Tribolium castaneum: one gene and its partner. The protein of the gene in region 2 purifies or fractionates together with the protein of the main gene of each other region. This does not show direct contact. Links are inferred from orthologs where the notes say so. Each region holds a gene or a part of one and is shown on either strand. Other genes may lie near its edges.

Region 1 (7,094 bases), on a different chromosome or scaffold from region 2:
GACAATTATTTCAGATAAAACATTCAGACATTTGGACTTTGTGCATTCGTGCTGTTCCCCAATTAGATAAATACCAGTGATAAGTGTGCAGTGCCTTTATTGCGAAAACCAAACAATGTCTTCCCTCTGGAACTCTCTTTTAAAAGTCCCGACTCAGATAAAACAATTCTCCGTAACTTTTTTACAAATTCGCAAAAAACATGACATAACCTCAATCATTTTCAGGTTCCGGTGCGTTATTTGAACCTGTTGGAGTACCAAAGCAAGCACCTTTTGCGCAAAAATGGGGTGGCTGTGCAAGACTTTTGCATGGTTGATGATAAGGGATGCTCCGAGTTCGATAAATTTAGTAAAAGTGTTAATAAAAGTTGGGGTTATGTCACTGTTTAATTTTTTGCAGATGTGAAAGAATACGTAATAAAGGCACAAATTCTGGCGGGTGGTCGCGGCAAAGGCCACTTTACCAATGGTTTTAAAGGCGGGGTTCATGTCACTGAGAAGTAAAATTTTTTTTGTGGTTTTGTCAAAATTGAGCGTTTGTTTCAGACGCAATGAAGTCGACGATATCGTCAAAAAAATGCTCGGCCACAGGCTTATCACGAAGCAGACGCCCAAGGACGGCATCGAGGTGAAAAAAATCATGATTGCCGAAAGTGTGAACATTCAGAGGGAGACCTACGTTTGCATTTTAATGGACAGGCAGAAGAACGGGCCTGTCTTAATTGCGTCCCCCGCAGGCGGCGTGGACATCGAAGCCGTGGCTGAGAAGACGCCCCATTTGATCAAAAACATCCCCATTGATATTCACAAGGGGGTGACCGATAGTATGGCCAATGAGGTGGCCGAGTTCCTGGAGTTCAAGGGGCCCCTCAAGGGTTTGGCCGCAGCCGAGCTGAAAAAACTGTGGCAGTTCTTCCTCGCCGTCGATGCCACTCAGCTCGAAATCAACCCTTTGGTCGAAACGGACAACAATAAAGTGATCGCAGTGGATGCGAAAATCAATTTCGACGACAACGCGCAGTTCCGCCAAAAGGACATCTTCGCGTTGGAGGACGTCACCGAGAGCGACCCCCGCGAGGTCGAAGCGGCGAAATACAACCTGAACTACATCGGGATGACAGGAAACATCGGCTGTTTGGTCAACGGCGCCGGTTTGGCCATGGCCACCATGGACATCATCAAGCTGCATGGGGGCGACCCCGCCAACTTCCTCGACGTCGGGGGCAGCGTCCGCGAGGAGCAGGTCAAAGCCGCGTTCAATATTCTCACGTCTGATAAGAACGTTAAATGTATTTTGGTCAACGTTTTCGGCGGGATCGTGAATTGCGCGACGATTGCCAATGGAATCGTGGGTGCAATGAAGGCGATGAAGCTTGAAGTGCCTTTGATTGTCAGACTGGAAGGCACGAATGCGGCGGAGGCCCGGAGAATTATCAAGGATTCAGGCATGAATATCCAAACAGCTGAAAATCTCGACGATGCCGCCAAAAAAGCGGTGCAGAATGCCTAACGTGTTTTTGTTGATAAAGTGTTAATTTGTTGATATTGCTCATTAGTCAACAGCACAAAAAACTGTTCAAATGACCAATGTTTTCATTACTTCGTTTTGATATTGTATTTTCGGTTAATAAAAATTTCTCATATACTATTCGTTTTTCATTACACCATTATATCCCAGATAATAGTTTTAAAGTATTCAAAATTTTTTTTCTTCAAATGGCACCCTATTACGATAATTTTTTTGATAAAAGATTATGCTCTAAAATACTAAAAGTACTAATACTTACTAAAAAGAATTTCGAAAATTTATTTTTGAAAAAACTCGTTCCATACTTTTGCCCACCTCTGTATTTAAGGCAGTCAGGTAAGGTAATGTGAATATAACTATAAAATTTGAAGTTTGCTTGATAAAAGTTATGTACTTTTGTGAGAAAATTTTACGGTACTGTTTTTTTATTGCTTTTTCGATTAATCAAGTTTTTTAAAACAATTTTCAGTATTCCTTCATCTTATATCCTAGTTTAAGTCATTAAAAAAAATACAGCACCCTTGTTCCTTGGACAAATCGCAATCATTTTTTAAAATCGTATTTGGGCATTTGAAAAAGTAAGCTTAGATCTTTTTTTTAGTGTTTTAAAATGTTGAATTATTTTGGTACTTTCAATACTTACCTTGAATTTTATTTCTGGTGCTTTAGATATTATTTTTAGATCTTATTGTAGTGAAGTGGTAAATAAAAGAATGTGTTTTTATTAAGATTTATTATTTTAAAATTCCAAAAACCAAGAGAGTAACATAAGATTGAGAAATTAATTTGAACGAAAAATAAATATGAAATGTACAATTTTATATTACAAATTCAGTAAGTTGCAGATACATCAATTAATAGGATATTGGAAAATGCGAAAAGTAACTAAAAACCAAAGAAATAACTATTTAACTAAGATAGTGAAAATTGCAAACAAGCAAAAATCACGAACGCATAATAATAGTTTCATTTATGATGATGTTTCGATTTTTATATAAGTTTTTTTGTCGTAAGACATGTTTGCAATTTTTTTCATTTTATTATATTTATTTGTCTGAGTAAGCGACCGTTTACTCTTTTTTAATAGCAGCCTGTTTGGCTTGATGGGCCTGCAAGACAGCAACGGCTTCCTCCACCTTGGCTTTGAGGGATTCATTGTGTTCCAACATATGCAAAAGTTCCGAATTGTCAATTTCGAGCAACATACCGGTGATTTTTCCGGCCAAATCTGGATACATGCGTTGAATAAGTGGGAAGAGCCTCTCACCCAGCATTTGCTTTTGCTCTTGTGGCGGGGCAGCTGCCAACATGGTGGCTGTCAAAGGCTCCTGGCCTTGAATGTGGACAGCTTGCTGGACCGGAGCAGCATTGCTGATGCCTAAACCTTGTGGAGGATTACGCATATTTGCTGTATACTTGTAAGTAGTTGGGCGATTACCTGCAGGTGCTACAACGGCTTGGCTAGCTAATGGTCGTCCTTGTATATTCGGTGGCTGCTGGCCGGTTATTGGTCTTGGCACATTGATATTGCTCCTCAAAGCGGCGGACTGGTTCGGGGGCCTTGGCGCGGCTCGGTACGTGGTCGGAATGGTACCGTACGGGTTAGCGCTGCCCTGGGCTCCGGGCCTCACGGGGGTCTGAGCCGGCCATCGCGGGTTCGTGCGGATCTGGGCCATCTGGGCCGCCCCATAGAACCTCTGCGGGGCTGGGATCGTTGGAACGAAATACCCACTTGACGTTCCAGGCTGGATAAACTGACCCATTTGGTGCATGCGTATGTTCGCCATACGCTGCATGTATTGTGATGTCAAGTGGGCTTTACGGTCCTCCTTGCGCTGCGCTAAGGCCACGTATAAAGGCTTTGAACCTACGATCCGGCCGTTCATCTCGGTCACGGCTTTTGTGGCCTCTTCCGGCGACGAGAAACAAACGAAGCCAAAGCCTTTGCTCCTATTGTCCTCCATCATTACTTTCGCCGATGTTATGGTTCCAAACGGAGAGAATTCTTTACGTAAACGTTCATCGTCAATTGTGTCGTCCAGGTTTTTCACGTAGAGGTTCACGCCTTGGTAGCGGTTCAAACGCTCCATCTTCAAGGCTTCGAAGCGACGTTTCAATTCTTGCTGACGCTCGGCCTTCTTCTGGGCGCGTCCAACGTACAAAGGCTTTCCATCGATGATTTCCTTACCTAAACAAAGACATTAGAAACAAAATCGGCCACTCTCAACAAGCAACATACCATTCAAAGCTTCAACGGCTGTCTCAGCGGCTTCAGGGCTTTCAAAGGCGACAAATCCGAATCCTTTCGACTTGCCGTCGTCCTTGCTCATGATCTTGTAACTGGTGATTTTGCCGTACTTCTCAAACATGGTGCGCAGTTGCTCCTCAGTCAAGTCTTCGCCGAAATTCTTGACGTAAACGTTGGTGAAGAGCTTAGCTTTCTCGCCAAGCTCCTTTTCACGTTCTTTACGTGGAATGAAACGGCCAACGTAGACTTTCTTTCCGTTGAGCAACATGCCGTTTACTTTTTCGATCGACTTGTTAGCCGCTTCTTCTGTTTCGAAATGGACGAAGCCGTAGCCTTTGCTGGTGCCGTTTTCGTCTTGAGCTACTTTACAACTGAGAATGTTTCCAAAGGCTGAGAACGTATCGTACATAGCCTTGTTGTCAATGGAACGATCTAGATTCTTAATGAAAACATTTCCTACTCCCGACTTACGAAGGGATGGGTCGCGTTGGGACCACATAATGCGAATTGGGCGGCCCTTGATTAAATCAAAATTCATGGTGTCCAAAGCGCGTTCGGCTGCAACATTAACATTTACCAATTTCTAAGAAATTTCAATGTTGCGAGCGTGGTGGGGGAAGGTTAACAATCAAAACGGATTAAATATTAAATGGCAGTCGGGTACCATATGGAACAAATAAATGGGCACTGGGTTCGCACTTACCATCAGCGGGCTGCTGGAAATTCACATAAGCGTAACCGAGAGAACGCCTCGTTATCAAATCTCTGCACACGCGAATCGAAAGGACTGGTCCAGCAGTGGAAAACTTTTCAAAAAGCATTGCTTCCGTGATATCGGTGTGGAGATCCCCGACGTACAGAGACGCCATGGGGTAGTTTGGAGCACCCGGATTCATCTTCGTTCTTGCACACTACACAGATATGCTACGCGTTAACATAAGAAACGAAAAATATACATTAACCGTTTATTTTCGTTTTTTCCACTGTTTTTCGATTTTTTTGGGGTTTTTAATGAGTTTTTATAATTTTTTTGGATTTTTGTAAATATTATTTAGCTTTTTTTTAGGTGGGTTGTGTGTTCTAAGAAGATACACAACCACACGCTTACACCACTAACAACAGTAACAAAATGGAGTCGTTACAGCATTTTCACTACTTATACAAGCCGGATATGACTGATTCCAGTGTTGCCATGTGATGAAATATTGAATAATACATCAATTTTAACGGACCCTGCGACCAATTTAGCAAAAAAAGCACATTTTTGATTTCATACATCGTTTCAGAAAGAATCCGACGTCTATCTCAATTTAATCGAGCTAAATTTGCCAAACCATAAAATTTGACCGTTGACAAAGATGACTATTTTTAAAAATTCTTACACGTACCGTCTCCTATAAAACTTTTAAAAGTTTAATAAAAATACGACTTAAATTTTCGTGACCACAGAACACTTTTTATAGTCAAATTGTTACAAATTTAGGCTGATATGAACACAATTTCTAACGGAAATCTAATTTCTAATGTCAAACTTGTGGCGGCATATTTGAAAGAACGAATTGTGGACGTTCAAACGGAAATCGTTACGTGCTTTAAATTCTTAGCATTTAAATCGTGAAATTTATTTAATTTATGTTTTCGATTATAAAATTCAAAATTCTTTTTTTCAAGAAATCTAACTCTCTAAAACAATTTTTTTAACTCATTCGGATGTCTTTTATAATATTAATAGTAGCACTTAATAAGTAATTAGGATGAGACCTGTCCAAAAAGCTTCATTTTTCACATATTTTCGTAATCATTAAGATAAGAAGTAGTGAGTGATTCATCTATGGTGTGGTAGCAACTAATGGCATTACGAACAGTCTTAAGAGTAGTTTGCTTTAATATTCATATTTAACGAACACATTAAAAAAATTAAGTACCAACTCTCACTGATAAATCGGTGTGTAAATATTTTTTTTCGATATGTAACGGTCTTATCTGCTGCCACAAGTATATGATAACGATTTATATTATTATTAGTTTAAACAAAAATTCAGTGAGAGTAAATTTACTTGCTCAAACAGGTGCTTTTTTCTTTTACGCAATTTTTTAGAGTCAGATAACAAATATTTGAGAAGAAATAGATTTTATATACCATATTTTATAACAAAGATTAAGAAAACACTGATGAGACTAACAAGATGAATGTTATTACATTTTATATAATTTTTGCCTTCATTTTGTAATCGGCTAAGTTTATTTTGTGTTAAATCCATACAAAATAGTTTTTCGGAGTTAGTTAAAATTCAAGATTAATTGTATATATTACAGAAATTGTTTAAAAATGAATAAATATAAATAAATTTTCTGTTGTCTTGATTTTTGATGTAGATTAAGAATATTTAAAACTGGAAACATGAGGACCTCTTGTTTCATTAAAAACAAACAAAAATAACAAAGAGTGCTTTATTTTCTTGTGGACATGGCAATGTGGCAACATCGCAACTACTCACGTGGCCATGTATGGTAATTGTTATTAACATTTTATCTGATTTTTTTATCTACAAAGCACTATTGTGCTGATTAGGCAGGTGAACAAAGTTAGTCACCCATTTTCGTGTGAGAAATCACGTTTTATCGGCAATTTGTGCGGAAATTCGTGGTAGGCCGGTAAGACAAGTCGCTAAGTTACCATCCTGGAAGTGTTACTGGAGGGGATTTCCAGATGGGGCAACGTGTGTAGGTTTGTTCATCCCGTTTTGTTCTGTGCTCTCGCTCCTGACGTAAGAGAGACAGATGAATAATAGTGAGAAAAACCAAGGAACAGTGCGGCGCGTTGTATTTCGTCTGTCAATATCGTTTCAGAATAAGATGTGATAATTTTTTTGAAAAACTTGTGTGAAAAAAGGAAAAACCAAATCGTTGCTGGAGGAAAATGCCCGTCAGATTAAAAATTTGGACGGTACCGTAACAACTGAGGATCGTGTGTGTGTGAACAGTAGGAGACCTGCAATGGCAGGAATAGAAGTCGATATAAATTCGTTATTGGCCCAAAAAGATGCCATCATACGGGAACAACGGGACCAGATAATTCGGCTAAAGAGGGAACTGGATGGAGTTGCAAGCGAGCGGGATCTTTTGCTGTGTGAAAACAGCAATCTGAGGTTCGAGCTGGAAATGGTGGAACTGAAACGGTTGCAAGATGAAAGGTGAGAAAACGGCATCAAACACCCGTTTATTTATTGCGATAATTAAAAAATGGGGAAATCCCTCCAAGGGTGAGATGCGACCCTTGTCATAAATCGGTCGCAGTTTCATTGATGAAACGTCAAA
Region 2 (7,258 bases):
AATAGATTGTATGCAGAATGTAGGCAAGCAGAATGCACACAACACAAGTGCCGTGCAGGAAAAATCTAGGTCAGCGAAATAGTTCAGGACTTGGGAGTTTTACTTTTACTAAAAACGGTTAGGACGCTAGCTGTATAAAATATATTAATTTTGCCATGCTCCAATAATGCCTTGAGAACCAACTCGACGAAAGAGCGTTCCTCATCACGATGTAATTACTGGAAAAAGAAAGTGTCGTGAAATCGATACCATAAAGCTTACTCGATTCGATTACAGGGTTTAGAGAGTTAAAAGCCAAATCAAATTCGTTTGAAAAAATCTTTTGTTATTCGCAGAAAGTAAAATTATAATAGAACGATGAAGCATTTAGTGTGTATTTTACCGTTTATCCCACATGATTTTCAAGGTGTGATTTTTGCAATGCATAATTGCCAAGTGTTGCATTGTTACGTGTCAGAAGCAACTAGTTGAACACGTGAATTGTGTGTGTAATACTAATTTAATTTGTGAATATTATCAAACTTTTTATCTTTCGCTTCCTCCACTGAACAACTCTGGAGTCAAGGATCCACACAATACGTTATAAATGTCACTACAAATGATTGTATTCAAACTTGAATGAAAACAACCAATTACCCAAATTTTGAAGGAAGTAAATCATTCACCTTTATTTTCTGCAAACAACTGCCTCTTCTAACTAGGCTAAGCTATTGTTTGTTGTGCTTTAGAAACTCGAAAAGTATAAAACAGTGCAAACACGTGTTTGAAAATTTTTCCACTGAGAAGTACACGACTATTTTCACACCATGATCGGTTCCAAATTAATTGTTATTGGACTGTTATTACGATAAATATGACAAGTGCAGGCGTTGATTAAACAATATTTATTAACATTTAACTCTCTCACACACAATTAACTAATAACCGCTTGTGAAATGGGGTCACACCTAACCCTTTCCAAAATGGTAACCAAAACAAAGGAAGTACATTTATCCGGTAGATTCCACATTTTTTTCACACGATGGTAGAATGGAAATTTTTCATACAAGGTAAAAAACGCTACTTCATAATCCTGTAACCAGGATCAATAAATGAAAGTGGTTTACAAACAAGTTCCATGGAAAGTTAATAAGCAATTAATTACTTAATTAATGAAAGATAGGGTGCAAATAATGCTCTAATCATCTACCGATTAGCAATTAATTGAGATTTTTTTCTACCAAATTCTCATTTTAATAATGTAGAATTTTCTAACAATGGCTTATTAAGATAACAAGAAACCTAGCTATTTAAGAAAAATTCAAGATTCAAGAATCCTTAAAGGACTCCCAGCACGTTTTCAACGCATGACATTTTGATACAAAGTGATACAAAGATTTTCAAACTGAAGGCCACTTTGATATTTGTGTTTATCATGAAATCTCAATGATTGCATGTGTACTTTCTTCTGATTACTATATTCCTACAACATACATATTATGTATTTAATAATAATTAACAGCTGCGTAGTTTTAATTCGACAAAACAGTAATACTAATAATTATAATAATAGGACAAAAAAATGTAACAGCACTGAAAAAAATAACTGTTTCCTGTCTTTTCTTAATGATTTTCAGACATTACGTCAATAAATAAATGGACGTGGATAAACGTAAATGCCTTGCGTTTACTTACTGAGTAATCAGTAGCATATCGCTTTTCTCCGGAAGAACAATGACGCAATTAAAAAATAACTTTTCAATAATCATAAATAAAAAAATGTGACCTTAAAGAATATTCGATGGACGCTTAAATATTCTTGCGGAAATAACAAAAATAAGATAAGTTTCGTTTTTCTTGTTGATTTCCATGTGTTCATTAAAATTTACTTATTACAACTTCTTCAAGCAAACCACAATTTTAATAATCTTATAATAAAATAACAGAAAATCACAATTATCAGCAATTATTACTAATTATTATCTCGTGGGTAAACGCAAGTCGTTTCTTATTACCGCAAGAACAAATTACCGAGTTATGATAATTTAATAATCTAGTATTATTGATCAAAGCGGTTGACTTACATTTTGAGTGTTTTAACGAAATTTAATTAAAATGTTTTACATCCTGTAAAAATAAAAAAAAACAAACAATACTTATGCAAATGGGAAATTCATATTTGCACCAATTTTTTATGATTTCATCTTTTTAATGTCGTGTCTTTTTCTATTATACAAGCGACGGCTCCTTAAACATTGCGCCACCAAACATTTTTGTTGATTTTAGAGCAACATGTTTTAGCATTACGGAAATAAGTTAAAAAAAAACAAACCCACACAGTTTATCAAAGGTTGAAGTAAATAATTTAATATAAAGGGTGAAAACTCGCTAATGAAAGTGGGAAGAGCAGTGATTAAAAATGAATCAATCTCGTTAGAATAACGCGAATTGGGGTTAAGTTTAAGTTCTCGTAAGTTGTGGGGGCATTATTGATTTTGTCTTAGCCGCGAGAACGAGGCATGTCGGGCAATAAAACACGTGCATCATCGTCAATTGTCAATGTCACTGGTTTATCTTAGGGCAAAAAACTTACGTTGCGGTGGCATCATCCTGTAATGCGTGGGTGGTAGCAAGCATATGCCCTCTTTGACAGGACCATTGGTCACGTACCGCGACACCATCTTGTCGAAAAATTCCAAAATAAAAAAATCACAAACGCCGCATTCACGCGACAAATAACTCGAGTTGGGCAAAATAACGCATCAAAAACCCACGCAAGTCACTCCCCTCACACGATAATAACCCATCAATACAGGCTTTTGTCCAGCATCAAACTTCTTCGACATAATAATGTCGTGTGACTCACTACCACCACAACCACTTTTCCAACCACCGACTTACGAGAAGAAAACGCACAGTCATTGGTACGACGAAACTGCATTGGGGTGAGTTTCTGAACACGTTCGGTGATTTTCAAAACAACAACAAGAAAACCCGAAGAGGAGCTGGGACATGCGAAGCACGTCTCCCTGCACCAAACACCAAAAATCGATAAGGGCGTTTTACCAAACACCACGCAAACCAATCATCACATGGTACGGTGCTGGTAACTTGTCGCGTTACGTTTCGTTGTTAAATAAACGGAAAAATCGGCGATTTTTTTCGATTGCGAACACGAGGTTTCTGTCTTTAGCATAAACTTGATTGTCAGTCAAAAAATTATGACTTCGGCGACACCGCCATTGTATCGACTGTGCGACTTGCAGTGTTGCCAGCGCAAAAAAATTACTACACCAGATCCGCGCCGAAAAACTACCAGATTTGTTCCTGGTAAGGACACAAGCATTACTTTTTGAACAAACTAATTAATCTTTTAAAAAATTTCCTAATTTTTCAGCTTATTTCCGATAAAGTTTAGATCCAAACCGGGATAATAAATCAAACGAAACATGCATCGATTTATTTTTGTGACTTTTTGCAAGGTCTCTAATTTAAGAACAAATTAGTGACTGAAACTGACTAAAAAATACCATTTCCCTCCAATTTGGTGCTTTTTTGCATCCTAGTAACAAATAGTAAATTTTCGGGTTACTTTTAACGAAAATTTTGAAAATAATTGCGGTTTTAGCTAACCAATGTTAGCTATGTCATATTTAGCCCAAAGTAATGCTTTTTTGGGACGCTTGAAACTTAAAAATATAAACATTACATTTTCTACTTATTTATTAAAGAAGTTAAAGACTTTCCACTCGGATTAGTAAAGTCTCGAGAGGAAATGCTCAAAAAAACACCCTCTTATCTTATCGGTTCCGCAATACTTCTGAACGTCCCATGCTAAAAGGTAATCCAGAATAAATTAATAGATTAAAATTTTCCGTTGCCAAAAATCACAGAATTTCACAAGATTGGCATCAAAGTCACCAAATCTGGTGAAAGATCACCAGACCTGGCAACATTGGGGACTTGGTTCCTGGTTCCGCCGCCAGGAACAATGGGAACGCATGCGCAACCACAACTCCGGATCAACCATCAACCATCGCATTCAACTGGTCATTTTTAAAAAAATTCGGGGAAAACCCAGCAAAAAAACATTTGGTAAAAAGGCACTCGAAACCGAACCAGGAGGTGTCGGTAATGAACTAGGGCGAAGTCACACCTGACCTTACCTGCGTTTATCGTGCGTGGCAATATGACACACAATTATGTAATTAAATCAGGGAAAGAGCAGCGAATTCGCTTGACATCCAATGCCACCACTTCACTTTTCACATAGTGATGCAACAAGCTGGAGCCCCGTCACGCGAGTTCGAAATTGAAACAAATCGCGAATTGTAATTATTGGGCGTGATTTGTGTGGAACACCATATGGATTGGTAATGACTGCGGTTGGTGGCCTGCATAGACAGGTGAATGTGAACTAATGAAAGTTTACCAGCCTGGCGTTCACATTCTACTCAAAACAATGCAGCGCCAGCAACAATTAAGACAGGGGGGATGACAGTCGGGTGACAGATGGGCGTAACTCAAAGGATACAGTGTGGTGGAGTAGGCCTGGTTTTGGGGCCCCCTCCCGGCTGTCTGCTTCTGGTTGCCGCTCATGTCAGCCCTGGGGCGCCGCGTCCCTCACAGAGGCCGCCGCGTATCCGTTCTCAGCGACTGCATATGTTCAGAACTGACAGCACAACACACATTTCCGGCCAGTTCACAAGCTTCGCAACATCGTCGCACCCAAAGACCGAAATTCGATGTTGATGATGCTGGATTTTTCGAAATCGTCACTTAGATAACACTACCACTATTACTAATCAAAGGTTAAGATATGTTTCAAGATGGCGGACTTTTAACCCAAAAACATGATTGTTTTCTTTAGTTTCGTGACGCACTCCGGGCCGTGCTTGCACTATTCGGACAACAGCCTCCACACTCCCGAACTTAATGCGAACTCGAATTTAACCAATGTCACTTCTTCAAATTTAAATTAAACTTACAACTTTATTAAAACTGACACGCGGCTTTCACGTTGCTAGAAAAGCACACCTAGCGCACCCAACGGAAAATTACACAACTAAAACAATTTTTCCTTAGCAAAGACGCACGCCCGGCGTCCCTCTCTCACTTAACCCCCACCAACAACAAAAACACCAAACACGCCGTACGTCGAAAGTTAACCCAACCGCTCACTTGAAAAAATAACGGGCATTGTCCAGAAATTGATCTAACCTACAAAAAAATGCAAATTTCCAGTAATTGAGTTGCAAATCAACCAAAATGACCTCCTATGGAAAAGTCGAAACCGCGAAACTGAAACAAAATTTGGAAAATCAACTGGACAGACTAGTCGAACAACTGGGAGATTTAGAAAATTGCAAGTTAGTCGTCACCGCGTTTCAATGCTCCCGAATGATGAAACTGCATTTTTAGAGCGGATTTAGACCCGGAGGAATATGAGGAGACTAAACAGGACACGATGGATCAGTTAAAGGAATTAAACGATAGCTTATCGAAACTAGTCAAAGGCGATATCTCACTTGTTAGTGCCCTCGGAGCCGTACAACTTGTAAAAACAGTTCTTTATTTTTTCAAAAAATCAAATACGATTTTTCAAGGCCACACAAGCTGCCATATCAGAAGCGTTTAAAACGCCAGAGGTTATCAGACTTTTTGGCAAAAGAGAACCAAAGCAGTTGAGAGAACGATTATCCAGTATTGAGCAAGAGTGTAAACTTAATAAATTGAGTGATGAAGCTACTAACAGACAAAAGGTCATTTACCTAGCAATTTCAGACGTGATTACTTATTCATTTTTCTAGGCTGAAATATTAACTGCATTGAGACAACTGGGGGAACAGTTATCAATGGAAGAGCTGCAGTTTTTGGAGAAACACAATAATATTGCCAATGCTTTCCAAAACGTTGAGTTTGTGGAAGTGACTGATGAATGAAAAACGCACCAAGAAATAAGGGCTTTATTTGTACATGCATATAATTTAACAAAGCTGCAGATAAAAGAACAGGTCGTTTGCCATTTATTGTATCTTCCGTTGCAAATACATAAAATTTATAAGCAATACTATTTTAAACCATAAAATAAGAACAAACAATGAAGTAGTGGCATAACTTTCAATTGTGATACAACGTTTAAAAATGATTTGGAAGTTTCAACAACACTATGTGATAAACTCTTACAACTCAAGTTATTGCCTACAATTAAAAAGTTAACTAGAATTGTACTTTCGTAACTTGGTCCTAAAAAGTACCAAAACAATGAAAATTACGCCAATGTTCCCATTACTCTACATAATGATATTAGAGGATAAACAAACTATAAAAATAGATAATACACAAAATAACATTTTTTAATTTTTGTATGAAACTAGCGCTTACGCCTGCAAACTTTTTTATGTTCTGCTTGCCAGTGCTGTTGTTGACAACTTTGGGAACAATACGCCGTGTTCCAGCAACAATGATAAATGGCTTCCTGTTCGCAATTATAGCACTGGAAATGAATGAATTACAACCGCTCATTTTGGCCAATCTTTCTTACCCATTGCTTTTTCTTAATCTCCGATATCTGCGCATTGTGGGACTCAAACAACCTTTTCAAATGATCATTGTGATTATTTGTAATTTGATCAATCTCACTTTGCATACAGTCCATTGCACACTTTATAAGCTCTTTTTTATCACTCACACATTCAAGTCTTCTTCTCATCTACAAACCAACCGTGAGCAAGTTACTGTAACGTCGCTTATTAGCAAACCTTTTCAACTGAATCACTATAAGGGTGATCAAGTTGCTGCATCCCATTTTCCTGGCTTCTGTCCTGGAATCTGTAATTTTCAGTGGAACTTGAAACTTGCTCATATGAACCATTATAGCTAACAATAAAAAAATTAAACTCGGAAACACCTGACACACATATTTACTTTGTATTAGAAACCGATGAATAATCGTAATAGGGATACTCATCGTCTTCGCCGTCTGATATGTGTATAACGCTATCGGAAGTATTGTGAACTTCCTCGTTTTTCTCCACGGAACTAGTTGAATTTTTTTTCGACACGGGACTTCCTAATTAATCAAATAAGACGCAAGTAACACAAGACAACGAAATTACCTTCACAAAAACTGCTTTTACGTTTATGCGTTAGGCTTAAATTTTGCTGACCGAATGGATTATCCTCAAACTTGTAAACATCATTCATTTCAAATGAATTTCTCTTTTTCACTTCCAGTGAACTATTAAGCGACTTCTTCAACGTCGAAATTCGCTGCTTA

Evidence for each region.
Region 1: the proteins of eukaryotic translation initiation factor 4 gamma 3 (region 2) and polyadenylate-binding protein 1 purify together in Drosophila melanogaster (affinity purification with western blotting; 3 studies listed by BioGRID, with this or other methods). This does not show direct contact. The link is inferred for Tribolium castaneum from reciprocal best matches to the Drosophila melanogaster genes eIF4G1 and pAbp.

Annotation. Positions count from the first base shown.
Region 1 is NC_087403.1:5,257,170-5,264,263, forward strand, and holds polyadenylate-binding protein 1, read right to left. Parts: upstream 4,920-7,094; 5' UTR 4,673-4,919; coding exon 4,480-4,672; intron 4,335-4,479; coding exon 3,768-4,334; intron 3,717-3,767; coding exon 2,599-3,716; 3' UTR 2,247-2,598; downstream 1-2,246. Other genes in the region: ScsbetaG (succinate--CoA ligase [GDP-forming] subunit beta, mitochondrial), read left to right, coding at 116-172, 226-349, 401-500, 547-1,510.
Region 2 is NC_087398.1:12,806,749-12,814,006, reverse strand, and holds the start of eukaryotic translation initiation factor 4 gamma 3, read right to left. Parts: upstream 4,977-7,258; 5' UTR 4,579-4,976; coding exon 4,514-4,578; intron 4,396-4,513; exon of another isoform or gene 4,146-4,395; intron 3,232-4,145; exon of another isoform or gene 2,661-3,231; coding exon of another isoform or gene 2,573-2,660; intron 1-2,572. Other genes in the region: protein LZIC, read left to right, coding at 5,248-5,348, 5,401-5,536, 5,586-5,741, 5,790-5,921; zinc finger MYND domain-containing protein 11, read right to left, coding at 6,353-6,475, 6,524-6,691, 6,741-6,858, 6,907-7,051, 7,098-7,258.